3 linked regions of the Schizosaccharomyces pombe genome follow. Each later gene encodes a partner of the first gene's protein in a complex. Each region holds a gene or a part of one and is shown in the gene's direction. Other genes may lie near its edges.

Region 1 (10,306 bases):
GGATGGAATGGAAATTACCCTATTCGTAAATAGCACCCTCATCACCATCATAATCGTCATAATCATCTCCTTCACCATTGTCAAAGTAATTCTCACCATAATCGTTGTCATCATCATCTCCAAAATCTTCATCTTCCTCTTCCAACCCTTCGTCTGGTTCTTCTTCAATATTTGGATGAGCAGCCTCAGACGACTCATCTTTCAAATCTTGTGCTTTGATAGTGAAATCTATGAATGTCTTCATATCAAGTTTTCTTCGAGCTCTCTTACGACCGGTGGCAGATGCTGCACCCAGAGTCTTGCGAAGTTCCTCTGGAAAAAACTTGGGATCCAAATCAAGGTCTGAAAGCGATAAATTGTCGTTTTTCCGTTTGGGTTTATTTCGATCACTGTAACGAACTAGTCCATCCTCATTCCTTTGTACAACACTAATTGGATTCCTTCGAATATAAAATGCACTTTCATCTAGAAATGAAGTTCGTATCTCTTTGTAAAAACGGAGTTCAAGTAACTCCTCAGGTCGAATAGATCGTTGAAGTGGTATATCGCGATCAGGGTATAACTTTGTTGGTGTGGAATTGGCATTAAACTCAAGTACTTCTTGCCATGTCATTCCTCCCAAATTTGTAGATCCACGAGCTCCACGTCGCATTGTGATGATTGTAAGAATGGGGTTCAAACGTTCGAACTAGTGTGACAGAGAGTTTAACATTAACAATGGAAAAAACTTTTAAATACTTCTTTCTGAATTATTGATTGGAACAAAAATAATAAGCCAATTACCCCACCACAGTAACAAAAAGTTGAAAAAAATTAAAAAGAGCTGTAGTTTAGCTATGAGAAGTGATAGGTTTCAAAAAGAACTAAATAAATGTAGAATATTTAAATAAAAAACTAGATTTTGAGAAGAAACCAAACCATAGGGCTTCAAAATTGTGCCAAAAGTTGGTTAACGAAAATATCAAGTAAATTTAAAAGAGGATCACCAAAGATAGATGAAAGAAACTCGGCTTTTTAAAACAAAAAACAAAAAAGAAATAACCAATGTAAAAGTGATTAAGCGTCTCTGATTAATCACTTTGTACTTGCCAATGTCTGGCTATGTGTGGGTGTTTGTGTTCGAAAACTCAACCAAAAGGCACAACACCAAAAGCTAAGAAAACGATGATCTAACTGAGCTGCCTAATTCTTGAAGTTGTAAACCTATTAGAGAAAATTAGACAAAGACTCCTGTATTAATTTTCGTGTTTTAAGTATTACGACTATCACTTTCACTTGAGCGAGTTTTCAAGACCCTTTTTGCTTTATCCTTGTTAAAGTTACATTCTTTGGTTAATTCTGTTACTTTCCTTTTACCTTTGGTTCATCAATTTCTTTAGAATGGCTGGCTTTATGCGACAATTATTTGTTTGCATGATTGGGATTTATGGTTCATTTCTTTCTTGGGCAGTTATGCAGGAGAAAATTATAACAAGACCTTACGATGGTGAAAGGTTTTCTTCTCCTGCATTACTTAGCTTAGCACAGTCCTTCATGACAGTCCTTTGTGGGTTGCTTTGGAACTGGTTTCATGGTGTTTCTGCTAGAGGCTTGCTAGAGCCTAAGTTTTTAGGATACTTTTCTAGTATTGCCATATCGGCTAGCTTAAGTTCTTACTTTGGATATGCAAGCATGTTTCATTTGTCTTATCCTACTGTTATTCTGGGAAAATCATGCAAGTTACTTCCAGTTATTGCTTTACATGTGTTCGTTTACAAACGAAAGTTTCCTCCTCACAAATACCTGATTGTTACAATGATTACAGCAGGTGTAAGTATCTTTAGTTATTTTCAAAACACTTCTTCCAAAGGTAAACATGCTGAGCATGATAGTCCTATTGGCTTACTGCTTTTATTTTTTAATTTGCTCATGGACGGAATTACTAATACTACTCAAGACAAGGTTTTTGGTAAATACAAATTATCAAGCGTTACCATGATGATTGCGGTCAACTTGGGTATCGCATGTTTAAATGGCCTGTATTTAATCTCTCCTTTTTGCAACCAGCAGCCTTTGTCTTTTATAAACAGACATCCAAGCATCCTTAAAGACATGTTGTTGTTTGCTTGCACAGGTTCTGTCGGTCAATTATTCATTTTCTTCACCCTTGAAAAATTTGGAAGCATAACGCTCGTTACCATTACACTTACAAGAAAAATTTTCACCATGCTTCTTAGTGTTTTTCATTTTCATCACACTGTATCTTCGATTCAGTGGCTTGGTATTTTATTGGTCTTTTTGGGAATCTCCCTAGAAGCCGGCCTCAAAATACTAAACAACAATTCTACTGCGAAAAAAAAGGCATCATAGGTTTGCCTTTATTTTTTTAAAAAAATTTCTTATAAATACATATTACAAACTTTTAATCGTCACCATTAAATAAAAACTTTACCCAAATATGTACGTTATGCTTCAGAACGTAAAATCAGTAGTACATGCAAGTATCGGTATACTTTGCTAACAAACTCTGGAGCATCTTCAGCGAGAGCAAGGTCCAATTCAGACACTAACTGTTCCGCACCTTTATGTTGCCTGATATGATCAATGGTAAATGTGATAAGTGAATCCTCTTGAATACCGATATACTCGATAATTTTCTTGGTAACAAAAGCTTGCATTTCTTCTTTTAGAAGATCCTATAATGTGTTAGTTTAGATACATATAAAAGTTGAAAAAATCACAAACCTCAGTAACCTTGCTCCAGTCAATTGGTAGTGCCCACAGACTTTCTGCTTCAACAGGTATCTTTTCAATAAGTGAACGAAGTCTTTTCGTCTTCTCGGCATCATTTTCTTCCATAGCAGGCTTTGGTTTTTGAGGGTTGGGAGAATAGCCTTGCGGTTCTTCGTCTTCTTCTTCCAAAAGCAGTCTCTCCGGAAGTCCAAATTCTCGTCTTTCAGAAGGAACAGCTGGTTTCTTGGTTTGTATTTTGATTTTGAAGGGACCATTTTCATGTTGAGGCATTTCACTAGTCACCAGCTTACCATTTTCGACATAATTCTCTGTCTCAACGGTTGCACCTTCTCCACGGGTACGTAGTTCTCTTTCTTCCTCCTTTCTGTCAAGAGCATCTGCGTCTTCTTCTCGAGCACGAGCAACTGCACGATGTCTAATCCAAGCAGCACGATCGACAAAATATTCGTCTCGAGATACGCGAGCTTCCTCATCGTCATCAAAAGAAGCTAATTTTTCCGAAAGATAAGTACCAAAGGAAGTGTTATTAACACGTTCTTCTTCTTCACGAGCAGCTTCTCGTTCTAAAGCTGCAGTTCGGGCCTTTTCACGATTCATCCAGCGCCGTTCCCTTGCGTAATACTCTTCAGCCTCCAATTGATCCTTCCTTCTCTTCTCTTCATAATAAGCTTGTTCATCGGAGAACGACTCGGGAATGCTATCTTCTGCTCTTAAAAAGGCATTGACTGTAGACATAGGGATACGTGAAATACGATGTTTTGACAAAAGGTTTTGTAAATCATCATTTTGCTTTCGAAGCTTTTCTTGTTCTTTTCGTGTATACTCTTTATATAAACTGGCATACTCGTCCTTAGACCTTTGTTTTTCTCGTTTTTTCATAGCAGATTGATCGCGAAAGGATCGTATTTCTTCTTCAATAACCGGTAATAATTCAGGATTAATTCCTTCTAAATCAGCAGCATTAATGGGAATTTCCGAAGTTTTGACATTTTGTAGTAATTTTTCGTTTTTCTCTCGGGCCTGTCGAGCTGCCCTTTCAATGCGAGAACGGACATCAAAATTGCCTATATCTTGACAAATTCTTTCGAGGTTAAAGCGAATTTGCTGTAAAATGTTTATCTCTTTCTGCTTATTTCTTGCATAACGACTCGTTTGCCATTCACGATACAATCCCTCATTCTCAACATCTGTAATCAATGACAAGCGAGTTGAAGGACCACCTTCGTACAAAGGTGGAACAACAAAATCATTTAATGCTTCTAATGCTCTACTGAATTGTTCATTTGATTCAAACTCTGCAAATCCAAACGAAGTCATCGAGTTATCTGCATCAGCAACCCTTCGCCAAGAAGCCAGCTTCCCGGACAATCGAAGAATTTTATCCATCCAAAAATCATCCAATTCTTTCGGTATATTACCAATAAAGAGCATCCGCCGCATTTGTTGACTATTTGGAGGGACAAACGGCCGCGATTCCCTTTCTGTTGTAGACTTCTCTGAAGAAGGTGTTTGAAACGTCTGTTTCTCCTGAATCTCATTACTTTTTTGATTTCGGGGTAAGTTTTTTCTATCTTTTTGTTGCGATTCATTATCTCTTAAAACTTGTTTTATGGGAAGTTTACCAAACTTCAGAATTGGCTGCGAAAAATCATAGGGACTACTTGCCTCAACAGGATTATCTACCAAAAAAGCGCCTTGGCCATACAATTTTTTGTATAAGCTCCTGTAATCAGGAGGTAAAGGGGCGAATACAGGTTGGATTGGGACGACATATGGAACGCCGTTGCCAACCATAGGAACCTGTGGCATCATTGGCATACCGGCAGCCTCTAAATAAAATTAGATAAATTCTTTAGCAATGAAATTGAAATTACTTACGCGTATTCTGCCGCTGCATAGTTGTTGGAGGAAAACAGATTCATGTGTATCATGTAAAGGTATATAGTGAAGTGTAAATGTGATTATCCTATTTTTAGTTTATGAATTTTATGTCTTTTACGCTAATGCAAAAAATCGATGTTCAAGGCAATTTAACGAATTCTTTATGCAGTTGTACTGCGGTGAGATTCAGGCTTCTCAAATTGCCAAGAAAACGCAAAATAACTATTTAAAATGAACAGTTCTTATTTCCCAGGTGTTCTAGGGGTCAGATGGGTACATACAAATAGGAAATTGCAAAAGAGAAAAGGTACGAAGAAAATCCATTGAAGTTGCTATTGTCTTTCAAGAATATGATTTTCGATTGTTGGATTATTGTCTGCTAATACTTTATTGATATTTAGAGGAGCATGGTGCGTTCCAAGATTCGCTTCATTTTATGATACCCGCAGCAGAAACAAAAGATTTAGGTGCAAGTGTGACAGTTGGAAATAGTCTAACAAGAGCATTTCGACAAGTTGATAGAATATGTCAAAGGAATAATGTGCCAAGGCTATTCCGTTCACAGAGATTTTATGAAAAACCATCCGAAAAGCGATCCCGCGTTCGTTCAGAAAGACACAGGGCAAGGTTCCGCGCTGGAATTGTTCGACTTGTAAACTTAGCAAAGAACATGCGTCGTTGGGGTTATTGAGTGATTCTTCGAACATTTCATTCTATTTCTTGGTTACGAAAATCCATATTAAATTAATGTATTTGGAGATCGTTGTTCTCATAGCTTTTCATTTAAGACGAGAATGCTCGAAAACCCCCTTTTGAAGTAAAATAATATATTGCTTTTTACTTCTCCGCGGATTTAAGAGCTAGACATTTTTGGGAAATATTCGTTTTTTGTTTTGTCATTTCTAAATTTTTCCTGGTATCTTTGCTTAACCCCTCCCCTATCTTATGATTTTCTACTTAACAGGATTTATTGTCTAATAACTGTCTCTACCTTCTTTTATCTTTTCAGTTTGACAATACTGCGAGATTGAGCTTAATGTTTGCATTACCCTCTAATATTACTATTCTGTTTTGCTAGCCTATAACAATTTTCTTAGTTAAATCGATGAGTTTGTTACTCTATTTATTCAAACTAATGCTGGTCGCAGGAAGTTATTACTTCTGCATGTTATAATAAATGAATTCGTTTCCTTTCGTATTGCAAATGATTTTTTTATTATTGGCCATGTAGCAGCAATTTGATGGTTGTATCCCTTTATCTTATTATAATCGTCATGAGTAAACCGACTCTCAACGTGTAACAACCAAATATGCTTACCGCTGAATTTTCATTAATCTTGGATTTGAGCAATGAAATGATAACCATCCATTTTACATTTCTGTCAACGGAAATTAAAATAATACCGAAAATATCCATTTACAGAATCATTTTTTGCTTAATTACCAGATGACTATAAGTCCCATTATTGTGCACTGCATACCATAAAGTAATTTATCACTTCCTTAATAGATTTCTGATTATTTACTCTTTCATCCAGCTAGAACTAATTACGCATATTGGCCATAGCTCACAATATACGATGGAGCGCTACCACTATTCATTAGTGCATTCAAACACGGCATCCTTAATTACAAAACTCAGTATACATTCATTAGCGTTCGCTTATTCATTAGATCGAGCGTAGATCATCTGAATTTTAACCAATGGTAGATTAAAGGGGACTTCTGTTGATGTTTGTAACGACTCAACACTCAAACGCACTTCACCAGAACAAAACACTTCTTGCCTTGTTTAGGGCATCCTTCTTTTCCAAGAAGCGTCCTGGCATCTATCCAATTTTTGCCAAAAACCCCTAGTATTCCCAGTCAATTGTGGTAGTGGTTTCACGCTTAAATTTTCGCAATGTTTGGTCGCCTCTTGCTGTTAGGGATTTTATTCCATGTCGTCTTTCTCAAATCCATTTTTGATATCTATTTCGTAACTCCTCTAATACATGGCATGAAGCAGTATTCTGCAGGCGAAGCTCCTGCTAAACGCCTATTTCTAATTGTTGGTAAGTAAACATTTGTAATAGTGAAATTAGTGTATAGAGCTTAATGAAAAAAATGTCATATTTTCGTTTTGGATTTAGAAAAAAAAACAAGAAATAGTACAACTTTTTTCTTGTCCTTCTTTTTCTTATTTTACTAACCAATATGCTTATAGGCGATGGACTACGTCCTGATAAACTATTACAACCACATTCCGAAAAGGTCATTGGAGAAGAGCAGACATATGCCGCTCCATTTTTAAGATCAATTATTCAGAATAACGGTACTTTCGGTGTTTCTCATACTCGTGTTCCCACCGAGTCACGCCCCGGACATGTTGCTCTAATAGCTGGTTTTTACGAAGATGTTTCAGCCGTCACAAAAGGCTGGAAAAAAAATCCAGTAAATTTCGATTCTGTGTTTAATCAGAGTCGGCATACTTATTCGTTTGGATCCGAAGATATTTTGCCTATGTTTAGTGAAGGTGCATCTGATCCATCTCGAGTTGATACATTCATGTATTCTTCTGAATTGGAGGATTTCTCTAGCAACGGAATTGTTCTTGACGAATGGGTTTTTGATAGGCTAGATGAACTTCTCGCTCAGTCTTTAGAGGATAAGGAACTTTGGGATATGTTGCATCGGGATAAAATAGTATTCTTCCTTCATTTACTGGGCATTGACACAATTGGCCATAATAAACACCCTGACTCAGTTGAATATGTCGAAAACATACAGTATATAGATGGAAAAATTCAAGAACTCGTTGATAAGATGAACAACTACTACAATAACGACGGAGCCTCTAGCTGGGTTTTTACAGCAGACCATGGTATGAGTGACTTTGGAAGTCATGGTGATGGCAACCTTGATAATACACGTACTCCCATCATTGCCTGGGGTGCTGGTATTCAAAGTCCTACTCATGAGAAGAATTATGGGCATGACGAGTATTCTTTGCCATGGAATTTGACGGAGATAAAACGTATTGATATACAACAAGCAGATATTGCAGCTTTAATGTCTTACCTTGTCGGTTTAAATTTTCCTGTGAATTCCGTGGGTCAAATACCCTTGGATTATCTTGATTGCTCTTCTCGCCGCAAAGCTGAGGTTGCCTTAATGAATGCTTTAGAAATTGGTGAACAATATAATTTAAAGTCTGCCTCAAAGGATCAAACTAGTATTTTCTTTCGCCCATATTCTCCTTTGAGGAACTATACAGAGGTACAAGCATCCTTTTACAACTCAGTTATTGCTGACATAGAATCTGGTGAATATGAAATTGCTATTGAGCATTGTTTCCACTTTAGCCAAACGGTTCTTTCTGGACTACGTTACCTACAACGTTACGATTGGCTTCTTCTTCGATCTATTGTTTTCTTTGGTTATTTGAGTTGGATTGGATATGTCATATGCTTTGTCTTCAGCTTAAACATAGAACCATCCTCCAAAATAGTAAAGCCTGTTTCCGTCGTCAAGAGAGTCGCATTTAATATTCCTTTTTTGTTAATTTGCATCTTTTTTTATATCCAGTCTAGTCCACCATTTTATTATGGGTATGCTCTTTTCCCAACCATATTTCTGCAACTCATTCATTCAATTTTCCCAAATACCAAACTTGGTTTCAAAAATTTTTTAACAGTTGCAAAGCAAAAGCATGGGTTTTCTCTATTAAAAATTTTGTTTATTTCGTTGTGTATTCTCTGTCTGTTACAATTTATCGTTTACAGTTATTTTCACCGCGAAGGATTTTCCGTAATTTTAATGGGATTGGCCGCATGGCCATGGCTCCTTCATGCGGATTATGCTTTTTCTCACAAAACTATATCAGTCTCGTGGTCAGTGCTTACGAGCTTATTATGCTTTTTTACGATTTTACCAGTTAATAAAAAGGAATCGTTATTATTTATTTTCGCTGGAGGATTTGCAATGTCAGTTGCTGGGGTTTTTTATATTCTTTACCGACGAAATCAAGCATTTCAATATAGCTCAACGGTCACAAACAAACAATTGGTTTTACAAGTTCTTATTATTATGGCAACTGTCCCTGTTACGCTTAAAATTGCAGACAGTCTGCAAAGGAATATTGCCATACCACCAATTTTACGTTTAGTTGCATTTGGACTTTTCATAACGTCGTACATCATTCCAAGTCATCATATTCGGTCTTGTAAACACTATTTTCTTGACCGTCTGGCTATTTTGTTTCTCACATTTTCGCCTACAATGTGCATGTTATCTATTTCTTTTGAAGCACTCTTCTATGTTGTTTTATTTATAACATTAGGATTATGGATGGAACTAGAAACAGAACTTCAAAAATATACGGAACAACTACATCCCGAATATAGCAGAAAGAAAGATGCAAAATTCCATTTATCTCTTTCTCATATTCGCATTTCCCTTTTCTTCTACATATTTATTAACGTCGCATTTTTTGGTACAGGAAACGTGGCTTCACTTTCCACATTCGCTTTGGATTCGGTGAAACGTTTTATTCCTGTATTCAATCCGGTAACACAAGGTGCACTCTTAATGTACACTATTCTGGTTCCATTTATCGCACTTTCGGCAGCTTTTGGAATAATGAACAAACGACTGGGAGGGATTCAGCAAGTTACTTTCTTTTTGGCAGTTGGAATGGCTGATATAGTTACAATTAACTTTTTTTATTTAGTAAAGGACGAAGGCTCGTGGAAGGACATTGGTGTGAGTATTAGTCATTTTTGCATCAGCAACTTTTTGATACTTTTTATTACTGCTCTGGAACATGCAAGCGCGATTCTTTGCAAAAATATTACCTACACTATTCATGAGAAAGTTAATTAAATTTAGATAATATTAAGATAGCTGATACTCGATGAAGTATCGCATCGTTCTCTCTTTTTTTCTTCCCTTACTTATTCTTTATAAATATATATTGGTAAACCGATTATGAGAATGTCTATACATGACCTTATTAACGAAGTAGGTAAATATTAAAAGTATAAAACACTGATAAACGAAGGATTATTTTAAAGAAAATGTGTTTGTATAATTGTAGGCATGCAAACTACTACTAAGGTTCTTGGAGATTATGAGATGTAGTTTATATCCATACAGATTGTAAGGATTATATCAAACGAATGGTGTTGCGAAAACACAAAGTATGAACCCGGAGTGGGATAAAACGTACCAAATAAAAAAGTTTAAAGCAGGATTTATATGAGTGACAAGGAAGAAGTCAAAGGACTTTTCAAGCACAATCAATTAATCATACTCGATAAGACCTTGTTGACCACCATACCGCCGTTTCCATGCGGAAAACCCACCATGAAGGATGTAAACAGTAGGAAGGTTTTGAAAGAGCTTTTCTTTTTGGCTTAAAGAGAGCTTTTCCTTACTTTCTGTTATACGGTTTCTCAAAATTTCTGAAAGTACTCTGGCAGCTTTAGGACCGCGAACTTGAGAATAAGTGCAATGGACGATGAGTGATCTCTTCTTCATGAGATCGTCAACATGCTGATCAACACTAGCGAGAAAAGTGTCGGAAGGAATACGCACACTGCCAGGAATACGTTCTCCTTCGTAATCGTAGTCACGAACATCGATTATGCTAATCTCGTTAGGCGATTCCATTAACCAGCCTTTTAAAGCATCAGGCGATACATAAGACAAA
Region 2 (9,984 bases), on another chromosome or scaffold:
TTAAGCATTTTAACGTGTCATTTCGCACTGCTTTGTATTTTATTAATATTTTATTAAACAAAATGCGATAACTAGCGTAATTTGGAATAAAAAAACACCCATTCACCTCGTAGCATACACTTCGCTCGTGAACGCTATTTTCCACTTCCACTATCTCGTCTAGCGTGAATGCGGGCATAGCGATGCAGCGACACATTGCAGTATTTCACAATTACAAAAGTGTCGATCTTTTTGTTGTTGCGCTAAATAGTGTGCTACTAAACATTTTGATACATTCTATAAACTCGCCAGCGTTTATTCCATTTAGTGTCTTTCTCGTATTTTGAATTCATGTGTATGTGCTAGTAACTAAAATTTCTTCTCATCCAATTTTTTTTTTTTTTTTTTTTTATTTAAATTCTCTTCCAACCAACTTCTACTCGTTCATTTTTCTATTGACATTTGTGTTTAACTCATACCTCGTAATAATCACGTTTACCAATTCGACGACCCTCAGCAATTGACTCTCTGAGCCACATGAAATCATTTTCTTATTTTTTTTTCTAACTTTTTTGAAACTCCTCAGCACGTTCCCACAACTTTTTAGCAGTGTCAACAAAGCATTCCTCATCGGAGCGATACTTCAATCCAATCGACCTTGAGTAAGAACCATCCAATACCATGAATCCAGGATTGATAGACGCTTTTTCAGGCTTGGAAATAACTTGTTGCTTGTCAGGAAAGTGATTACGAAGTGTGCTGCAAATTTCCTCTGAAGTGAATAATCCCTTGCATGCAATCATTCGACCGTTCGATAATTTTTTGTTTTCTAGCGCTAATACATGAGCCGCTGCTAAATCGCGAACATCCACGTAATAATAATAAGGTGAAGAAGGATTGGCTTTGGAACCATTGATCAAGCTCCATATCACCAAATTCGATGTGTTTAGTGAGTCCATGTTCTTCATAGGTTGAATTGGCGGTCCAAACACATAAGGAGGATTGACTGTGCAAATATCAAACGAAGAGCGCTTTTGCGCTACATAATCTCTAGCGGCCCTTTCGGCACAAGTCTTTGACGCACAATACGCAAAGGTTCCGTCTTTCGTACTTATTCCCTGCTCATACGTGATGGGATTCCAATCCTTCTCCGTATACACTTTACCGCTATTAACGTCGATTTCGAGATTAATAATGGCGGCAAAAGAGGAAGTAATCACAATGCGCTTCACACTTTTCTCACCATGAGCTGCCTCTAAGACACTTAGTGTGCCTTTAACTGCTGGATCCAAGAGTTGTGTTTTGTTGTCAGTAATATTATCAACAAACAATGGAGACGCTACATGACAAACGTAATCCACATTTTTTATGGCATCTTCGAATGCATTAGGATCGACAATTCCTTGACAATTACAAATTCCACTTCATCCTTAAAATCAGGATTCAATCGAACAAGTTCATTCGCTTTTTCCATGCTTCTCACCGTACCGCGCACATGATATCCAGCTTGTAGCAGTTGTTTAGCAACATGAGCTCCAATAAATCCTGTAATCCCGGTGACAAGAACCAGTTTTTGGCTCATTATGGGTGATTAACGATTTTAGCAATAATACAATTATAACCTTGTTACAATAAATATAAACGGTAGTGTATCGTGCTTATGTAAGCTTGCTTAAGTAATAACAACCTTAGTCAGCGTACGATTATTGTCTTACTTTCAAATTTGCACTAGGACTTTGCGCCTTGTCATATATCCGCCAGCTTTCAAATAATCGCTTCGTAATACCACACAAACCCTATGTTAAGTTAAATAATTGTGGAATGGTATCAATGAATGAGTGGATTAATTTTCCAGTACAGGTAAATTCCCACCTTTTTCCTTAACTGAAAAATGGATGAAACTGAAATCATGAATCTGTCCAAGGAATTCCAAACGTGACAAGAACAAGCAGTCGTTGTTTGTTGGCCAAGTTATTAGTTTTTACATTACAAATACAGAACAGTTGAATGAAAGCACAAAAGAAAAAAAAATCTGAAACAGCCATCAAATTTAAAGGCAAACAGTACACAAAAAAAAGTATTTGTTTATGAAAATTATTGGTAGTGCAGATTATCTATAAACATGTAGTGGTAATAGTAAAAAGGTGGTGTATTGATATTATGATGAATGAAACCTATGTAGTTCTTCAAGAAAGTTATGCTTAATTCAGACTACATTTTCTGGAAATTCTTTTGCCTTATAACTTTGATGAATTTCATCTATGTATTTAATAGTATATCATTTAGTGATGAATAGTGAATAAATTTAGAGCTCCTTATGTGACAAACAAGGAATTAACTTGCATTCGATTCGTTCGTCTAGCACTAAATGAATCTGTGTTATTTGTGTGTGTAAAGAGATTAGTAAGTAGGCTCTAAAAAAAAAAAAAAAAATGTGTGTATATTTTTAATTTATTTTAAATATTTTTCTCCTTCGGTTCTTTTCTTCTTCTTCTTTTTTTAAGTTTTATTTATTTATTTTTTTATTTTTTTATTTTTTTTTTTTAATTTCAAACAGCTATGCTATAGTCTAGTGCTTCTCTTGCAATTTGACAATGTTTTCGTAAATTTTGCCAGATAAATGAGTTTTTGAGCAACTATTTAAATTCGGTTTAATATATTTAATAAACCTATTTTATTCTATGTCGAGAGAAGATTGAGATGATTAATCATTCCCTCTATCTATTGATTGTTTCATTCATTGTAACTAACAAATTCTATGATACTTCGCCTATCTGATTTACCATTATTCTCACTGTACTTTCTTAAAATGTTCCACTTTGGATGGTTTGGATTCTAAAAAAAGAACACTTGACTTTTCCTTTTTTTGCAAATCCGAATATTTTTAATTCTTGTCTTTTTACTTCTTTGCCCCCCTTTCACTTTCTTCTGCTCCTATCGTCTCCCCCTTTTTTTTTCCATACCTTTCGATATCTGAATCCTAACACAATTTCCTAATGTTCAAGAAAAAAGAATATTCGTTGATATATAAAACAACTTTAATTATCATTCTTTAAGTCATTTCATGTTTATTATTTTAATTTTAGCTTCTCTTTTGAATGCTTAGAGGCACTTTTTTTCCTTCCCTGTTAATTTTTTGCATTCCTTTTCTCTCTTCTCTTTTTCTATTTACCTTTTAACACTAGCACTGCTTTATCCCATGCAACCCTTAAATGTTCGAATCGATAGATAATAGAAGAATCATGTAAAGACTAAAAGGTGATTTTTCTCCCTTTTTTTTTTTTTTTTTTTTTTAAACGACTTTTATTGTATTGTCATTTTGCAAAGTGAAACCAATTTTATTTCTATTGACCCACCACTACTTTTACTAAAACAACAATAACATTAATTCCACAATTTTTTTTTTTTTACCATCTCCTTTAAATCAAAATCCAGGCTAAACCATTCACACCACCTCTTTTCATCTCTTCGTTTTCCTTCCGCTTTTTTGTCTCCGTCGCTAACGGGATCTCTCATTTGTTTACTGGTTATTCCTTCATTCATCAACATCACACTGTCTTTCTTTCCACCACTCACCATGCCAAGTGCCTGAATTCATCTGAACCGTTTCTGTTTTTTGCATGTTATTTTAGGGATCGTATTTCCATATCTTTTCTTTCTCATTTATTTCCAATTTTACATCTTTCCTTTGATTATTTACTTTATATATATGGACAGATCGACATACTAACGTGCACTTACCGCTTCTAGTTAGTCTCCAGTGTGTGACCTTTTCGTCATTACTTTGGTACATTTCCCTTCCATCGGAAAAGTAAGCTACTTCCATTCTTATTCATATTTCTTGTCTTTTCCCCATTTTTTTTTCTTTTGTAGCAGCGAAGAAGAAAAAGGGACATTCATTAAAACCATCTCCTTCAAAAACTCGTAGTTTCGGCTCATCCACTCGTTTCCTGTTTCTGTTTACATTTTTTTCACCACCAACTCTCACTACTTCTCGCTGCTCTGATCCCAAAACTACCTTACACTACACTACACTACGCTGTACTATACATATTTAGCTAGGAGAAAGCAATATCACTAACCAACGAATTACGATTTTTTGCCCAGTTTCGGTATAATACTTCCTCCTTCAACCCGGCCTTCCGACGTGATTTTCGCATTCTCTCCTTATTTATGAAAAATAGTTTCCCCTCCCTTTTAATCAGCTGTTAAGCGTCCTTATCTGCTTCTTTCTTTATAGGCTTTAGACGTTCAATTTGCTGAAAATTTTGTGGTTCCGTTTCTTTGTTTTCCTTCCGTGTTTGCTAACCTTTTTTCGTTGTTTTTGGCTTCTTCTAGGGAACGTCTCGGCTCAGTGCTCCACAATAAGCTATCGCTTAATTTCACTCACTCAGCTTTAAAGGAATACTGGAGTGGAACGCATACCCTAATACCGGATTGGACACTTTAAGGCTATAGCGGCTTTGAACCCCCCCTTTGTACTAGTAAAAGTAGGTGGGTGCAATATCTTCGTCGTAACCTCAACATACCACTTTACTTATTAATAGACATAATTCGTTGAAGCAAACGAGAGCTTTTTTGCTCTCTTGCCTTTGTTTTCTTCTTATTTATTTTTAATTTATTAAACATTTCTCTTTTTTTGACGTTTCTCCTTCGTTTTGACAATATTACGAGCATTGGCTCAATTTCTTCTCTTTTGTTGAGGTGGTAGGCCTTCAGAATATCGGTTGGAATTTTCTTTTTCATTTTGTTTTCTCCCTTTTCTTTATTCCATTTACAACTGTGCATTACGCTTTACCTACGAAATCCTAGTTGCTTCGCACTTCCCTCGTTTATCGATTGTTCGTTCGTACATCTGTTCCGTTTGCATTCCAATTCAATTTAATTAAATCAAAAATTTCATATCTATTTTTTTGTTAAATTGCCACATTTTCCATACAGAAAACATGAGCTCTTCTTCTAATACCAGCAGTCATAGATCTTATGGCTTACGGCGGTCCCAACGCTCCATGAATCTAAATCGTGCTACTTTGCTCGCTCCTCCAACTCCATCGAGCCTGTATGATGCTAACAATTCTACTTCATCTACCTCTTCGCAAAAGCCAAATACCTCTTTCACTAGCTTATTCGGTCCTCGCAAACAGACCACTTCCTCCCCTTCCTTCTCTCATGCCGCCCCTCTTCACCCTCTTTCTCCTCCTTCTTTTACACATTCACAACCCCAGATACAGGCACAACCTGTACCTCGGCGGCCTTCCCTTTTTGATAGACCCAATCTGGTATCACGCTCTTCCTCTCGGTTAGGTGATTCTCCATCTCTTTCTCCTGTTGCCCAGGTGGCTAATCCCATCCACCATACTGCCCCTTCACCCTCAGACGTTCGTGCGTTTCCCATTCATAAAAATGCATCTACTGGTGTAAAACGAAGTTTCTTTTCTTCCTCCATGTCAAACGGTGCAATGTCCCCTCCTTCCCACTCTCCATCTCCCTTCCTTCAAAGCTCTCAACACATACCTCCTTCTACTCCTGCTCAGAAGCTGCGAAAGAAAAACAATTTTGATTCTTTTCGTATCTCAAATTCCCACATCTCTCCATTTGCATCGGGCTCCTTCTCTCCTTTTGCAACTTCATCGCCTAATTTTTTATCGACTTCCACACCCGCTCCTCCTAATTCAAATAATGCTAATCCTTCTACCCTTTTTTCGTCCATACCATCCTCTCGACACACTACCTCTAATCATTTCCCTTCTAACTCCGCTCAATCCTCTTTGTTTTCTCCTACCGCTCGTCCACTTACTGCACGCAAGCTTGGGTTTGCCTCCAGCCAAACTAAGTCTGCCGTATCTAACAACCATTCACGAAATAGCTCTAAGGATGCATCATTTATGATGAAAAGTTTCATCCCTTCTAATCGCTCACATCCTCAAACCCAACAAAATGAATCTTCCCTCTTTTCTGATAACAGTATGGTTAACTCCTCTTCTAATTCATTCTCCCTTTTCCCCAATGCTACTCTACCTAACCCACCCTCATCTGAGTTGTTAACTACTCCCTTTCAACAAATCAAACCTCCTTCCCAAGTTTTTATGAGTACAGGTCTTTTATCCAAGCAACATCGTCCGCGAAAGAATATTAACTTTACACCTCTCCCTCCTAGTACTCCTTCAAAACCCTCTACCTTTGTTCGTCCACATTCTTCCTCCACAGATTCGCCTCCATCACCCTCGACTCCTTCCAATACACAAACCGACTCTTATTTTATTCAACGGGAAAACACTCCTACAAATCACAATTCCATTCCTACTATTCAGTTGGAGAAAAGTTCCATGGACTTTTTGAGGTTCGATCCTCCTCCTTCTGCTGTAAAAACTTCTCACAACTATGGATTACCATTTCTATCTAATCAGAGGTGTCCCGCTACGCCTACTCGTAACCCATTTGCGTTTGAAAATACTGTTTCCATTCACATGGACGGTCGGCAACCTTCGCCTATCAAATCGAGAAATAATAATCAAATGTCATTTGCCATGGAGGAAGAAGCTGATGTATCTCAACCCTCTTCTTCAAGCTTTACATTATCCTTTCCTTCTGCTCTCACCTCGTCCAAAGTATCATCATCTACTTCACATTTGCTTACACGGTTTAGAAATGTTACTTTACTAGGAAGTGGAGAGTTTAGTGAGGTTTTTCAAGTTGAAGACCCTGTGGAAAAAACTTTAAAGTATGCAGTGAAAAAGCTCAAGGTAAAGTTTAGTGGACCAAAAGAACGTAATCGACTACTTCAGGAAGTCTCTATTCAACGAGCCCTTAAAGGCCATGATCACATTGTAGAGCTTATGGACTCATGGGAACATGGGGGGTTTCTTTATATGCAAGTCGAATTGTGTGAAAATGGTAGTTTGGATCGTTTTCTTGAAGAGCAAGGACAACTTTCAAGGCTCGATGAATTTAGGGTATGGAAAATATTAGTAGAAGTAGCTCTTGGGCTACAGTTTATTCATCATAAAAATTATGTTCATTTGGATTTAAAGCCTGCTAATGTTATGATAACATTCGAGGGTACCTTGAAGATTGGTGATTTTGGAATGGCCAGTGTTTGGCCTGTTCCGAGAGGCATGGAAAGAGAAGGTGATTGTGAATACATTGCGCCTGAGGTTCTTGCTAACCATTTGTATGATAAACCTGCTGATATTTTCAGTTTGGGTATCACAGTCTTCGAAGCTGCTGCTAACATTGTTCTTCCTGATAACGGTCAGTCTTGGCAGAAATTACGTTCCGGTGACTTATCAGATGCTCCTCGACTTTCTTCAACAGACAACGGTTCATCTCTTACTTCTTCTTCTCGTGAAACACCGGCTAATAGTATAATAGGCCAAGGGGGACTTGATCGCGTTGTAGAGTGGATGCTATCTCCAGAGCCTAGGAACCGACCTACCATAGATCAAATTTTGGCAACTGATGAGGTTTGCTGGGTTGAAATGCGTAGAAAAGCCGGAGCCATAATTTATGAAGGTATTCATGGATCTTCTTCTAACCCCCAGGGTGATCAAATGATGGAAGATTGGCAGGTGAATGTTTAAACCTTTTAGAGACTCTTGTTCTCAATGTTTATTACTGCGAAATTGCGAAATAAGGGAATGGCTTCCAAAATCTGTTTAGCTTCATAAAAGCAAACACTTTAATTATTTTTAAACGAAAAGTTTAGTGATTGGTGCTTATAATTAATTTTGGTTCATTAAATGCTTTTTTTTTATTTAAGGATACGTGTCCGTTTTAACCGAACCCTTAAATTTTAAAAAATTTTAAAAAATTATTAGATGATAGTTTTTCTATTTAATTTTTTGCCTTTTCACCGGATTATCTATTTGGTTTTCTTCAGTCAAATATCCGGTTAATTATATCTGAGGCAATATGATGATGGCTATGGAAACATGCCATTCAGTTCTTGATATGGGGAACTAGAATGTTTCCTTAATTTAAAGCCTTGACGCCGCACATACTGTACGTGCTTTGTCTACTGAAAAAATGTTAGTGAACGATTGTTTTTTATATCGCAAATCCTTTCTCTAACATGTAGACTCGGCTTCAGAGGAGTTATTATTCCTATTTTTCATCTATTTTATTGTCTAATTTCTTATGTCACTCGTTTGTTATCGACTTGATATGTTGCATTTACTCATCTTTGCTAGCATAAAGTTCGAATCCCGACTGTTTATCCACTTTTTTTTGACTTCTGTTTTCATAATAATTTAGATCGATCGATGACACTGCCTATTATTCTTGTACATAGTTTACGATCTTGCTGAATGGCAAATAATTGGTTATGTTTATGGAAAATGCCACGATTTACTAACGAAGTTTAATAACCCGTTAGATTTTTTATTATTATCATATCATATAATAATTAGTAATAATGTTAACGTTATGCTTAGTTCCACTTCTGTAATTTTTAATTTCCCTTTTTTTTTATGCTTGTGAAAGCTGTGTATATGCTCAAGTTTGTGATGCCTTCAAATTAGTATAGGATTTTAATGACCCGTTTAACACTTCATATCTAAATAAACATTTATTTTGAAACAGAAAAGTTAGAAAATTCAGGTATCATCACGTTTTCATTTATCAGACACAAGCATAAGCTATAAACTATTTAACGAGTGTCTCATTATTTCACTAAACACCTTCAAACATTGAAATATTACTTTGACAACAGCACGGGAGAAAAATGCTTGGGAGACGAATATTTTCTCCAGCTCCAAACAGAGGATTTATTTTATGCAATCTCATACAATCTAATAACTCTACGCGAAGAGGGTTTTCGGACAATCGAAAATTTAATGAGAGAAATTCTGAAGCATCTTCAAATGTAGGATTTCAGAGAAGAGTTCGCTCAAATATTCCATCATATTTATCAGCCTCCGTAGAAGAAGGTGATATTTACTCTCCCAATGATTTACTGTTTGAAACGGTAAAGGCGAAAAATCAAGCCAAATTCTATGAACCAGTAAGAGAAGATTGCTTTAAGACGGTGAACGAAAACCCTATGAATTATTGGAAAAACCCCGTAATATTGTCAAGATTCGTTACTGAACTTGGTCGTATTAAACCCAGAGGTGATACTGGCCTAACAGCAAAAAATCAACGACTTCTTTCTAGGGCTATCCGAAGGGCTCGAGCTGCTGGTATAATGCCGACGAAATACAAATCAGTTTATTCGGAAAATTAAATTGTACTGAATATTAACAAGGACGTTCTATATCTCATTTCATCACATTGGTAGATATACTTACCCACTGTCCCTTACTTTTTTTTTCTTAAGGAACGATAAACGATCTACTTTACTTTTTAAATGATTAGCTCACGTTAATTAATATTTCAGGTGTACTTTGGTTTTGAATAGTCTTTTTTGGATTAAAATATACATGACACAAAATCATAAACCGCTGCTAATATTAGTGGCTAACATTTTTTAATGGCTTTAAAAATATAATATCTTTGTTATCTTTAATTTTTAATTTAGCTTGATTGAACTTTTTTGTAGGAGGAGCGTTAGTCGATACAATGTATTAAAAAAATTATCTAGTAGTAGTTATTTTACTTATCTAAAGAGGACAGAGAGGGAAGAACAAATAATTATATGCAAAAGAAGAAAAAATCCATCTAGAAAAGAATTGGGTTTTATAGAACGATATTAAAACGATGAGTGCATCATGGAGCTAGTTCAAAATATATGCAATAGGGCTTTTCATGAAGGTATATGAGATAAAAGAACAGAAGTTAAATCAGCTTGTGGTATGTAATTCTCCGACTTTAACGAAATTAGAGATCCTGAGAACTTAGAAGAATGACCTAAAGCTGTAAATAGCTGAGCACTCTTATAGGGATCTGAACTCTTTTTATGAACCCTTTGAATGGCCCACTCGATTGAATATAAAGCTTCGTGAATGGCTTGCAAAGGTGGTATATTACAAGCCAGATTCGATGCAATGGCAGCTGTAAGAGAGCAAC
Region 3 (10,574 bases), on another chromosome or scaffold:
TAAAGGTCGAATGTTTACACGTTATATCACGTATGTCGTTATCATTTTCAGATGATGAAATGGCAGAAAAGATTCTTAAAGCCATCTATGTTACATATCACATGGACTCTCCTGATATATTGTTTGCGAGTGCTGAAGCCATGTCGATACTTGCTGGTGGACATAGAAACGTTTTCGTGAAATCCACGTGCCCCATTTTTTTTCAAAAACAATTGGACAATTATAAAGCAGATCACTATTGCTTTACCCTTGATTTCATTTTAACTGATTGTGTCAATTCTCCAAAACCCTTACTTCGTAGGGCCTCTTCTTTATGGCTTTTTTACATAGTTCGCTATTGCGAACCTCAAACTTATACAATGACGCGGCTTAATGATATTTATCATTCATTTCTCTCATTTTTGGTTACTCAAGATGATTTTGTTCAGGATACTGCGTCAAGAGGCCTCAAAGCTATGTATGATGTTTTAGAAGGGGACGAAAGAAAATCATTTACTGATAATCTGATAAGCACAATTGCTGCTGACCGCGTTGATGAAAAAACCAAAGCTCCTTTGGACGCAGATACTGCCCTTTTCACTACAAATAAAGGTACTGTAGCCACCTATAAGGATATCTGTTCTTTAGCATCCGAGAGTGGTAATCCTGATTTGATTTATTCATTCTTGAGCATAGCAGGTAACAGTTCTCTCTGGCAAGCCCGTAAGGGATTGGCATCTGGTATAAGTTATTTAGGTATTCCCGAGGATCAAAAAAGAAAGACGTTTTCATTTGATACTTCTAAAAGCTCTTCATTATTAAAAAAGCTTTATAGATTTAAACATGACCCTAATCCTGATGTTGCCAAAACAATGGGTGAAATTTGGGACACATTAGTACCTTCAGATCTCAATTTGGCATCTCATCGTAAATACTTAGTGGAGGATTGCCTCGAGTTTATGGGGAGCAGATCTTGGAGAGATAGGGAATCCAGTGTAAACACTTTGGTTAGTCTTCTTTCTAATGTTCCTGTGACCGAGTATCTAAATCAATTAGAGGATATATGGAACATGTCTTTTCGAACTCTTGATGATATTAAAGAGAGCGTTAGGGAAGCGTCCTTTCCACTTTGTAAGCTTTTAGCAAGATCAGTTATTCAATCTTTGGAGAAGACTTCACACAATACTAGCCCAAGCGGAATTTGCAAAGGCAAACGGATTGTTTCAGTAGCTTTACCATTTCTATTAAAACACGCTTATGATCAGGCTAAAGAAGTTCGTTCACTTACATACTCTACCATCACTGAACTTGTGCGTACTGGCAATTCTACTTTGACTTCGTTTGTGCCGGCCATTATGCAGGTTATGCTTGAATATTTGACAGAGTATGAATCAAAAGCTGCTACCTTTTTGGATTTTCACGCCAAAAATTACAGCATTAAACAAGAAAATATTGACAACGCCAGAACGTCAGCCGTTCAGAGCTCTTCAATGATGGATACGCTAGAGAAGTGTATCGGCCTTTTGGATGAAAGCTCAATGCAAACATTATATCCAATATTAAATAGAATGATTGCTAAACCTGGGGGTGTACCTACCAAAATAGGCAGCGCCCAAGTGGTGATGCTTTTAGTAATTCGTCGTGGACCACTCGTCAAGCAGTTTGCTTCAAAGCTGCTTCAATCCTTGAAATCTTCTTGCTTTGATAGAAATGCTGCAGTAAGTGATGCATTTGCATCTGCTATTGGCTATTTGTTACGAGTTTGCCCGTTGGAAATAGCTTCACAAACTTGTCAAGAAATCATCGATAAATTCTACGATGGAAATACCAACGAACAAATAATCAGTTCCAAATTGACCGTGTATGCGTCGAGATACGCACCCGACGTCTTCCTTAATCTTGGTTCTCTTTTTTTTCCTTTCATTTTTTTTGGGAAACATTCTTCTTCCATTTCGATAAATGGGGTTTTAAGTAAAGCATGGGATGAACTTTCATCTGCCGGAAGCAGTGTGAACCTGTATTCGGAAGAAATTATCCTTCTTATCCAAAAAAACTTAATTGTTACAAAATGGGATGTCAAACGTCCTGCTGCTGCTGCATTATTGGAATTTGTCAATACTTCGCGACTCACTTATCGACAAAATGATATCTACGTGCTTTTAAATGAAACAATGAAAGATAAAAGCTGGCCTGGGAAGGAATTACTGCTTGAGGCTTATGTTAAATTTTTAATTAAATATCCTGAGTTCATTAAATCGCAAAAAATGGAAGAAGTTCACCAAGTGATTGTTAGAGAATTTAAGAGACGCAATATTGTTTACAAAAGCCATGCAATGGAAAGTGTTGGTGAACTGTTATCTGATGAAAATTATAGAGAGCTTGATTTGTATGAACTATCATTAAATGAATGTGGTACATTTTTGCAGAAGGAATGGTTTGATAAAGATGATGAATTGAATCTTGAGGAAAAAATTGCGCTTCAGCGCAATAGCGTCTATGCCATGTTTAATTCCAGCAGACCTGGAAATAAGAATTGTAATGAGATGTTGCTAACTTACTTGTCAAATGCCCTTGATGAAAATTATTTACATTGGAATGTGAAATTAGCAATTCTGAAAAATGCTCCTCACTTAAAAAAGATAATGTCTAACGAGGAATTCTTACTGTATAAAGATATTCTTTATCGTTGTTACGAAGACAATCCGTCACCAAAAGCAAAAGATTATGCTGAAGTCATCTTCGGCGAAAATTATTTAAGTGTTTTAAGAAATTAGCTTCATTATATTTATAGCTAGTGATAAAGCTGATCAGCCATTTGAACTTTCTAAACACTCATTTCTAATGCTAACATTGTAAAGGATTAATTAAAGAATATTTTATACAAACCTTTGACTAATGTATTCATATTTGATTTTAAACCTAGAATGTAAGCGATTGATGTTGAAAATCCAATAACGATAATAATAGCTTTTACAACAAATAAACAACAAGTGAAGAATACTAGATGCCAGTCACTTGGTTTTTTTTTTTAAGATTCTTCAACTTCACGTGCTTTTCTAGCGGCTAATTCTTCGGCCTTTTTTTGGTTTTTCAAGTATTTAGCCCTCTCTTCGCTCATTGCTGCAAACATCCAAAACTGCCACATCAAATCGCAAAATGCAAAAGTAAAAGTAAGGCTGTTGCTAGCGATATGCTCTTTTTTGAGGTAAATAAAGCCGGTAAGGATAAAGTCAAATATAGCACGAATTGGAGTAATTCCACTGAAGAACAGGAAATTGCTTTGTAACAATGAGATAGTATAAATCATTCCAAGAATCAAAAATACCAAGCCGGACAATGCAAGAGTCGATAAGTTGTCTTGTGTTACTATCAATGGTTTCTAAATTATAATGGTCAGATATCACTTCAAACATTAATCAAGAAATTAAAAAAAAAAAAAAAATACTATCTACTAAAACAATAAAGTTATAATCACATACAACTTCCATAGAAGCACCAATTAACGCGACCAGTCCACTTTCTACTACAAACTTGGGATTCCATAAAAATCCAATGCCAGCAAATGTTAGCATACAACAATAAAAAAGAACTATCGCTCGAAAAGAGAACAACATCGTGAAATCAGAAGACGACAAATGAGCAACTATTAACTTCTAGAGACTGTACTCCGTGGTTTAGAAAGAGAATGTAAAACTAATAAGTTTTTTTCGGAAAGAAAATGTAGAGAGTTTCGATGAATATTTCGTTCGTACTTTTGTTTTCTCAACGTCGCACCAATTATATGCACCTGATTTTTGCTATTTTACGGTAGTATCAAGCTCTGGGAAGTATGTACTCTCAATTAATGGTTATATTACGATAGTTGAACTTAACTTCACTATTGTTGCTAGTTGCCAGCGCTCGCTATCTGTATTTAGAATTAGAAGGTGAATTGAATTGAGAAATATAATCAATATAACAAAATTACAAGTATACGTTTGGTTTTATTTCTTCAAAGTTATTTTGGTATGAAAAAGTGAGATGCTGACAGATTTCAAGTCAAGAACTCTATATTTTTTAAAACCACTTCAACGAATTTTAGGATCTTGAAAAGTACATCATTTTTACTAATTATAGGAGGGTATTTTCAAAGGATATATTGTATGTAGCATCTAAATAATTTTTATGAAGGTCTCAAAGGGTTGACAACGGTTGTTTTTGGAAATACATTACATTGACCATAAACTGAAACGATGTATTTTACAAAAGGCAATTCAATTTTACAAACTTTCAGCTAAATATAAATTATGCCAGGATTCTCGTTCATTTGACTAGAATGTGTGCTTGTGATATTTGTTCTCGCATTGGTAAGTGCCCCGAAACCTCTTTGTAAGTGGCACCGTACCACAAATTGCATACATACAATCTATTATATCAGATATACAGTTTTATCTTGGGTGGTAGATAATAGATATATAATTTCCAATTCATATTTATATTGTTTTACCGGTTGATTGAAATTTGCCAACCAATTTAATAAAAAGCGTTTGTCAAGATGCCAATAGATACACCGTTGATACCCCATAAACCTATTTCAAGATATCGCTCTGGTAGATTGGAAGGGCTGGAAAGTGAGTCTTCTTCTGAAAGTGATTATGAAGAAGTTTCCGATTCACATGATCAAGAAAACTCGATTTCTTCATCAAGACATGTTATTACTCCAGTATTCGAGAAAGAAGGAATATCTGAAACCAAAACGTCTTCTAATTTCCAAAACATTAACCCAGTCCAAACAATTGATAACTCTGCTTCAGAATATGAGACTGACGCATCATCGGCAGAAGGGGGATCTAACTCTGCAGCATCTAGTTCTGAAGAAGAAGACTCTTCTGATTCGGAATATGAGATGGAGCTGAGAAGGCGGACACTTCTTCTTCCGCCAAAATTTACTAGTAAAGTCATCAAAAATCGGGCAAAAGCCAATGAAGAAGATACTGAGGTGCTTAAAAAAGTGACTTCACAAAAAATATTAGAAGAGACTATAAAACGGGAATTACTATTGAAAGAAACTAAAAACAATAATGAATTATTAAATGATATCGATGATACCGATGGAATTGATCCGCAAAGTGAATATGAATTATGGAAATTAAGGCATTTGCTTAGGAAAAAGAGAGACAAGGAAAAGTCACTGGAATTAGAAAGGGAAAAGATGGCAATTGAAGAAAGAAGATTAATGAATTCTGAGGAACGCGAAGCCCAAGATTTGAAGGACGCTGAAGCAAGTCGGAGAGGAAAGAAAAAGTCATCTATGCAGTTCTTACAAAAGTACTATCATAAGGGTGCATTCTATCAAAACGAAGATATTGTGAGTAAAAGAGATTATTCAGAAGCCACAGAAGGGGAAGTTCTTAATAAAGATTTATTACCCAAACCTATGCAAATTAGGGGAGATCTTTTTGCGAAGGCAGGCCAAACACGCTGGACGCATTTGGCAAATGAAGATACTACAAAAGAAGGATCTGCTTGGTATGATCCTAAAAACCCAATCTTGCAAAAAAATTTGCATCGTCTCGGTGGACTTCATTCTGACAGCCCACTCTCGAAGCGAAAACGTACCTAACATCTGTATATACATAAGGACAATTTTGTATTTCATTTAGCATTAATTTTATTTAACATCACATATATATTTAAATACAACATTCTTCTGAATTAATATCAAATGTGCACCACCCTTCCTCTTTGTAAGTGTTTAGCATAAGCATACCAATTCTTACCTTCCCGCAGTGCAAAGAGTACAACACATTTTTCGCCTTGGTCACCCATGTTACGAAGAGGTGCGCTTTCCACAATATTAAAAGGTTTAAACGGCCTTTCACTGCGTAGTCCCATACCGATTTGGCATGTTTCAGCTTCTCCCGAAGTTGGGTCGAAATATAACCTACCAACGGTTCCTACAACTTCACACGTTTCATATCGTCGTAAGTAAATTAAATACTTCTATTTCTAACTTCATTGCGTAGAAATCGCAAAAGCAAATTTCTTTGCTGGATATCGACCTTTGTCAGCTAATCAAATATGTGTGCCTAAAGTTGAGTCCAAAACACAAGTTTCGCAATCGCAGGATGAGGAAGATCAACCCCAGGAATATGTGTTATCTTTAGAGGATGGCTATTTGTATGCTCAATCATTCTCTGCATCTGGATCCGTAACTCAAACTCAACCCGCTCGTATATCTACTCAAGTATGGGAACAAATATGTGATAAGCTGATTTCTATTACACCTTTAGATTTGACCAGTGTCAAACGAAAAAGAAAATTGAAAATGAATAAACATAAGTTCAAAAAGCGCTTACGCCGACAACGAGCACTTAGGAAACGTCTAGGAAAATGAGATTATTAGAACTTATTTTTACTCGGGTTATATTTTTAGGTTGGTTGGATTGAGAGTTTAAGCTGTAAACAAGCATTTTCAAAATGGCTGCAAGCATTTATGAGTCTCTATTTTTAACTTGGATATCAGTACCTCTCTTTTCTTAAGAAACGTTTAATCATTTAATGTTTACTTCAGGCTTTTTTAACAAGGAATACATTTTCTCTCATGTATATTCTATCCTTTAATGTTCCGGTATGAGACAATTAGGTCGGTGCTTTTTTCTTGCGATAAAATCATTAAACAATCCGCGTTTATTTAACTATTTTCAAAAAGCGGAGCACTTATTTGTTTATGCCGGCTATCTCCTTCATATCAATTAGCTTCCCATGTCTAGTACTATTACAATACCTCCATCTTTGGCCCTTCCTTTTTATATTTTTAAATATTTGTCGATGGCTAGAATTAATGACATGTACACTTCATGTGAATCATAAATATGTTGTTGTATATCAAGCAATTAATAAACGCTTATTACACTGTATCTGTTTACACATAGAATAAAAGAACACATTGGTATGAAAAATAACTTTAGTAGTCGAAATTATTTCCTTAAAACAATTTTGAAAAAAAAAAAAAAAATTTCTACATTTCTTTCTTTAAAAAATGTTCTCACTGATTATAGCTAATTACAATAATGAAATGTAACGTACTGACGACTGACATAACAAATAACAACATAAGGAATATTGAAGAGCGTCCAACTGTATAATTTTTAAGGCTTTTGTTAATCTTGTCTTAACCGATCAAGTTATGCCAACATGCTTTCTAGAGAAGAGCAAAACCGGTGTTTCGTTCCTGTCCGACGAATTTTAGACAATGAAGACTTAAAATTATTTAAAGAAGGAGATGCTTATAAGTTAATTGATTCGTTTATTTGTGATCTTGACGAAGCTGTGAAAGACAAGCCTATTTCAGCTTCAATTCCGCAAAGCTCATCAATAGAGCATGTATTAAATATACTAGATCGAGTTGGAGAAATTAAACAGGAAAATCCTGCAATTGATAATATGGGGTCGAGGTTTGGCAATCCTGCATTTCAATCATTTTACGATCAGGTATACATTGAAACACCAAAGTTGCACCAAGTATTTGGAATTGAGCATAATGCGGCGATGGAGGCAGGTCGATATTTTTATGAAAGCTTTGGAAACAGAAAGCGAATAGATTATGGAAGTGGTCATGAACTTTACTTTATGTCATGGTTACTAATTTTAAAGCAACTAGGCATTTTTACTAAAAATGATTATCCAGCATTGGTCGTTCGAGTTTTTGTTAAGTATGTTGAATTGATGAGGTCTTTGCAAATTTTTTATACTCTCGAACCAGCAGGATCTCATGGTGTATGGGGATTAGATGATTTTCATTTCCTCCCTTTTTTGTTTGGTGCAGCTCAGTTGGTTAATCATAAATATTTGCGTCCCAAACATGTTAGAGATCCAGAAATTTTGGAGATGTGTCGCGCTGATTATATGTACTTAGGTTATGTTTACTTTTTAAATAAGTTGAAGCCTTCTGTTTCACTACGTTTCCATTCTCCAATGATTGACGATATTTCTGCCGTAAAGACTTGGTCTAAAGTCAACGAAGGCATGATAAAAATGTATAGAGCAGAAGTTTTGGGTAAACTTCCTATAATGCAGCACTATCTTTTTGGCCATTTAATCCCAGCTTCACCTGGGATGTCTCCTGCTCCCCAAGACGGTGATGATTCTGAGGTGACACATGTTCATTCTCATTATGCTGACTGTTGTGGCATCAAGATACCAAGTGCGATCTCTGCTGCCAAAAATAATGGAAGTAGGATTCCGTTTGATTAAAAATTCTCGAGGGAAAAAAGGCGTTTTTAACGAATCTTCACGAATTTATGCGATACCCATATTTGTCTGTTTACTTTAAAAGTAATATCTAAAGTCAATAAAATTACCAACAGTACAGCATATTTGTTTATTTCATTATGCTAAAAAAACTCTACATAAACAATCAACCCTAATTTTAGCAGCATTAATATAGCCATTTCATCAGCACAAAACCCAAAATAATTGTCGTTTTAAAAATAAGGTGACAAATCATAATTTTGAGTTCTGAAATAAAAAAATTTGGAAATATTTATTTTCGTTAAGAACCCAAATTTGTCAAAATCATAATGCGTGGAAAAGTACAACTTTTATATAACATCTCTTTAATTTTAAAGGGATAATAAGATAAAGCTGATATGTTTAGGGGAGCTCGAATAAACCTTATGAATTTGCTGCTAGAAGCAGATACATGGAATGAATTAAGGATTTACATTAAGAAGCAACCCAGAACCACTGGAACTTTGGGCATTAGAACCAGCTCCAAAGGGAAGATAAGTGACCTGTGCACCTTTATTAGCAAGTGCAGTAGCCACCTCTTTACTTGTCTCGAGACGACGAATTTGGATTAAAGCGCCACCGGCTTTATCAAGTGCTTTGGAAACAATATCAGCCGCTTCTGCTTCACCCTCAGCGCGAATAACATTAGCTTGTCGCTCTTGTTCGGATTGTTCTACTAAAAATCTAGCACGCTCGGCTTCTTGTTGAGCAATTTGTTTTCTCTCTACGGCTTTCGTAAATTCTTTTCCAAAAGTCATATGAGTAATGGATACATCTTCCAACCGAATTCCAAATTCGGTAGCTCGTTGAACTAGTTCTTGGCGAATTTTGGCAGAAACTACTTCTCTTTGAGTAATGAGCTCTGCTGCATCAAACTGAGCAACTACGGATTTTAAAATTTCGTTTCCAATAGAAGGTAAGACACGCTCATCATAATCTAAGCCTAAATTTTGGTAAATTTGAGGAAGCATTCCAACTTCGGGACGGTGTAATACACGCAATGTTAAAGAAACCATCTGTAAATCTTTACTACCCGTAGTAGTTGCGATATTTCGTGGACGTGTGCGTACATCATAAACAATTGCCTTTTGTAACCATGGAATCAAAAAGTGTGTGCCCTCCTGAACAACCTGTTTCTGCACACCCGACAGACGGTCAAACAAAACTGCTCTTTTTCCCCCCGGTACATCGTAAATCGAAGATTGTAATAGAGTAAATCCAATACCTATTGGTATTGCATAACGTGCAACTCTCTCCAGTACTACAGCCATCTCTTTAATAGTACGTTGAGCGCTGGACTAAAAGACCAAACTGAAAGGGAAGTCCGTTTGAGCAAGACTAAGTATGACTTAACTGCAACCTCTAGGAAAATCTATATTCATGATTAATAAATACATGATCTTATTATTTAGAATTTTAATAGTAAAACTAAATAAAAATCTTGAATAAAAAACCAAGAATTTGTAAACGTCTGAATTATTATTGGTCTAGCAGACCCGCACACTTACCCTTAACAAACATCTGACTTTGTAACGGCAATCATCAATATATTATTGTTTTAACAAAATGGGTGGTGCTGCTGGAGGAAAAACTTATTTGTAAGTGCAACTTAAAGCAGTTTCTGTTTATAATGGGTTATATGACTTTTCTTTGACGCTTATAGCGTGAGACGGTGGACACAATTGGTGTTTATTTCGTAAAGCCATTTTCGTCAGCGAAGTTATATACATTCAAATAGCTGCTGAGAATATCATTGAACGTTTTTATTTATACTAACACATGAATAGAGGATGGTGGGGCCATCTGTAAGTGCTATAACAATTTGATACATTTTTACTTACTTTAATAAGAGGTGGACCTAAACAAAAAGGAATCATAACATATTCCCTTTCCCCATTTCAACAGAGACCAATGGCCGGCTTCTTCAAAACTTCTACGCAAAATATGTTTCGTCGCGTCATGACTGAAGGTCTATACGTAGCAATTCCGTTTGGAATAGCTTACTATATTTACTGTTGGGGGAAGGAGCGTAATGAATTCCTCAATTCCAAACATGGAAGACACGTAAGTTAATGACTGAAGAATCGATAAGCAGCTATGGTTTGCAGCATTTTTCTATACTTCTAAATTGTGTCAATAATTGTCATTTTACTAATATGTGGTTTAGTTGGTGGAGGAATAATGATGAGAATGAAGTATTCATTTTGGTAGAAGGATTTACAAAATTCTTCCCTACCCTTTCCTTATTGGGTTTACAATTACTATCTCTCTCCTCTCATTATGCTTAGTATCAGAAATCTATATATCCAACAAAATTACTTTGT

What was found.
Region 2: mrp21 (region 1) and rsm18 share a complex: the UniProt entries of both Schizosaccharomyces pombe proteins name them as parts of the mitochondrial small ribosomal subunit.
Region 3: mrp21 (region 1) and cox24 share a complex: the UniProt entries of both Schizosaccharomyces pombe proteins name them as parts of the mitochondrial small ribosomal subunit.

What each region holds. Positions count from the first base shown.
Region 1 is NC_003423.3:612,678-622,983, reverse strand, and holds mrp21 (mitochondrial 37S ribosomal protein bS21m), read left to right. Parts: upstream 1-4,810; 5' UTR 4,811-4,845; coding exon 4,846-4,921; intron 4,922-5,015; coding exon 5,016-5,305; 3' UTR 5,306-5,793; downstream 5,794-10,306. Other genes in the region: DNA-directed RNA polymerase III complex subunit Rpc31, read right to left, coding at 20-652; ER uridine diphosphate-glucose transmembrane transporter Hut1, read left to right, coding at 1,381-2,349; U1 snRNP-associated protein Usp107, read right to left, coding at 2,445-2,675, 2,725-4,562, 4,612-4,630; its8 (pig-N family GPI synthesis protein), read left to right, coding at 6,518-6,668, 6,821-9,477; Cdc25 family phosphatase Ibp1 , read right to left, coding at 9,898-10,306. UniProt on the Schizosaccharomyces pombe protein: Component of the mitochondrial ribosome (mitoribosome), a dedicated translation machinery responsible for the synthesis of mitochondrial genome-encoded proteins, including at least some of the essential transmembrane subunits of the mitochondrial respiratory chain.
Region 2 is NC_003421.2:717,309-727,292, forward strand, and holds rsm18 (mitochondrial 37S ribosomal protein bS18m), read left to right. Parts: upstream 1-8,681; 5' UTR 8,682-8,701; coding exon 8,702-9,202; 3' UTR 9,203-9,484; downstream 9,485-9,984. Other genes in the region: protein kinase Wee1, read left to right, coding at 4,926-7,559; SPOM_SPCC18B5.05C (phosphomethylpyrimidine kinase), read right to left, coding at 9,722-9,984. UniProt on the Schizosaccharomyces pombe protein: Component of the mitochondrial ribosome (mitoribosome), a dedicated translation machinery responsible for the synthesis of mitochondrial genome-encoded proteins, including at least some of the essential transmembrane subunits of the mitochondrial respiratory chain.
Region 3 is NC_003424.3:4,757,294-4,767,867, forward strand, and holds cox24 (mitochondrial 37S ribosomal protein mS38 ), read left to right. Parts: upstream 1-5,749; 5' UTR 5,750-5,785; coding exon 5,786-5,942; exon of another isoform or gene 5,943-5,984; coding exon 5,985-6,355; 3' UTR 6,356-6,929; downstream 6,930-10,574. Other genes in the region: proteasome assembly chaperone Ecm29, read left to right, coding at 1-2,753; SPOM_SPAC1782.02C (uncharacterized protein), read right to left, coding at 3,008-3,358, 3,459-3,593; splicing-associated factor Saf3, read left to right, coding at 4,514-5,581; ypa2 (serine/threonine-protein phosphatase 2A activator 2), read left to right, coding at 7,156-8,214; prohibitin Phb1, read right to left, coding at 8,673-9,521; qcr8 (ubiquinol-cytochrome-c reductase complex subunit 7), read left to right, coding at 9,817-9,848, 10,038-10,055, 10,101-10,314, 10,418-10,432. UniProt on the Schizosaccharomyces pombe protein: Component of the mitochondrial ribosome (mitoribosome), a dedicated translation machinery responsible for the synthesis of mitochondrial genome-encoded proteins, including at least some of the essential transmembrane subunits of the mitochondrial respiratory chain.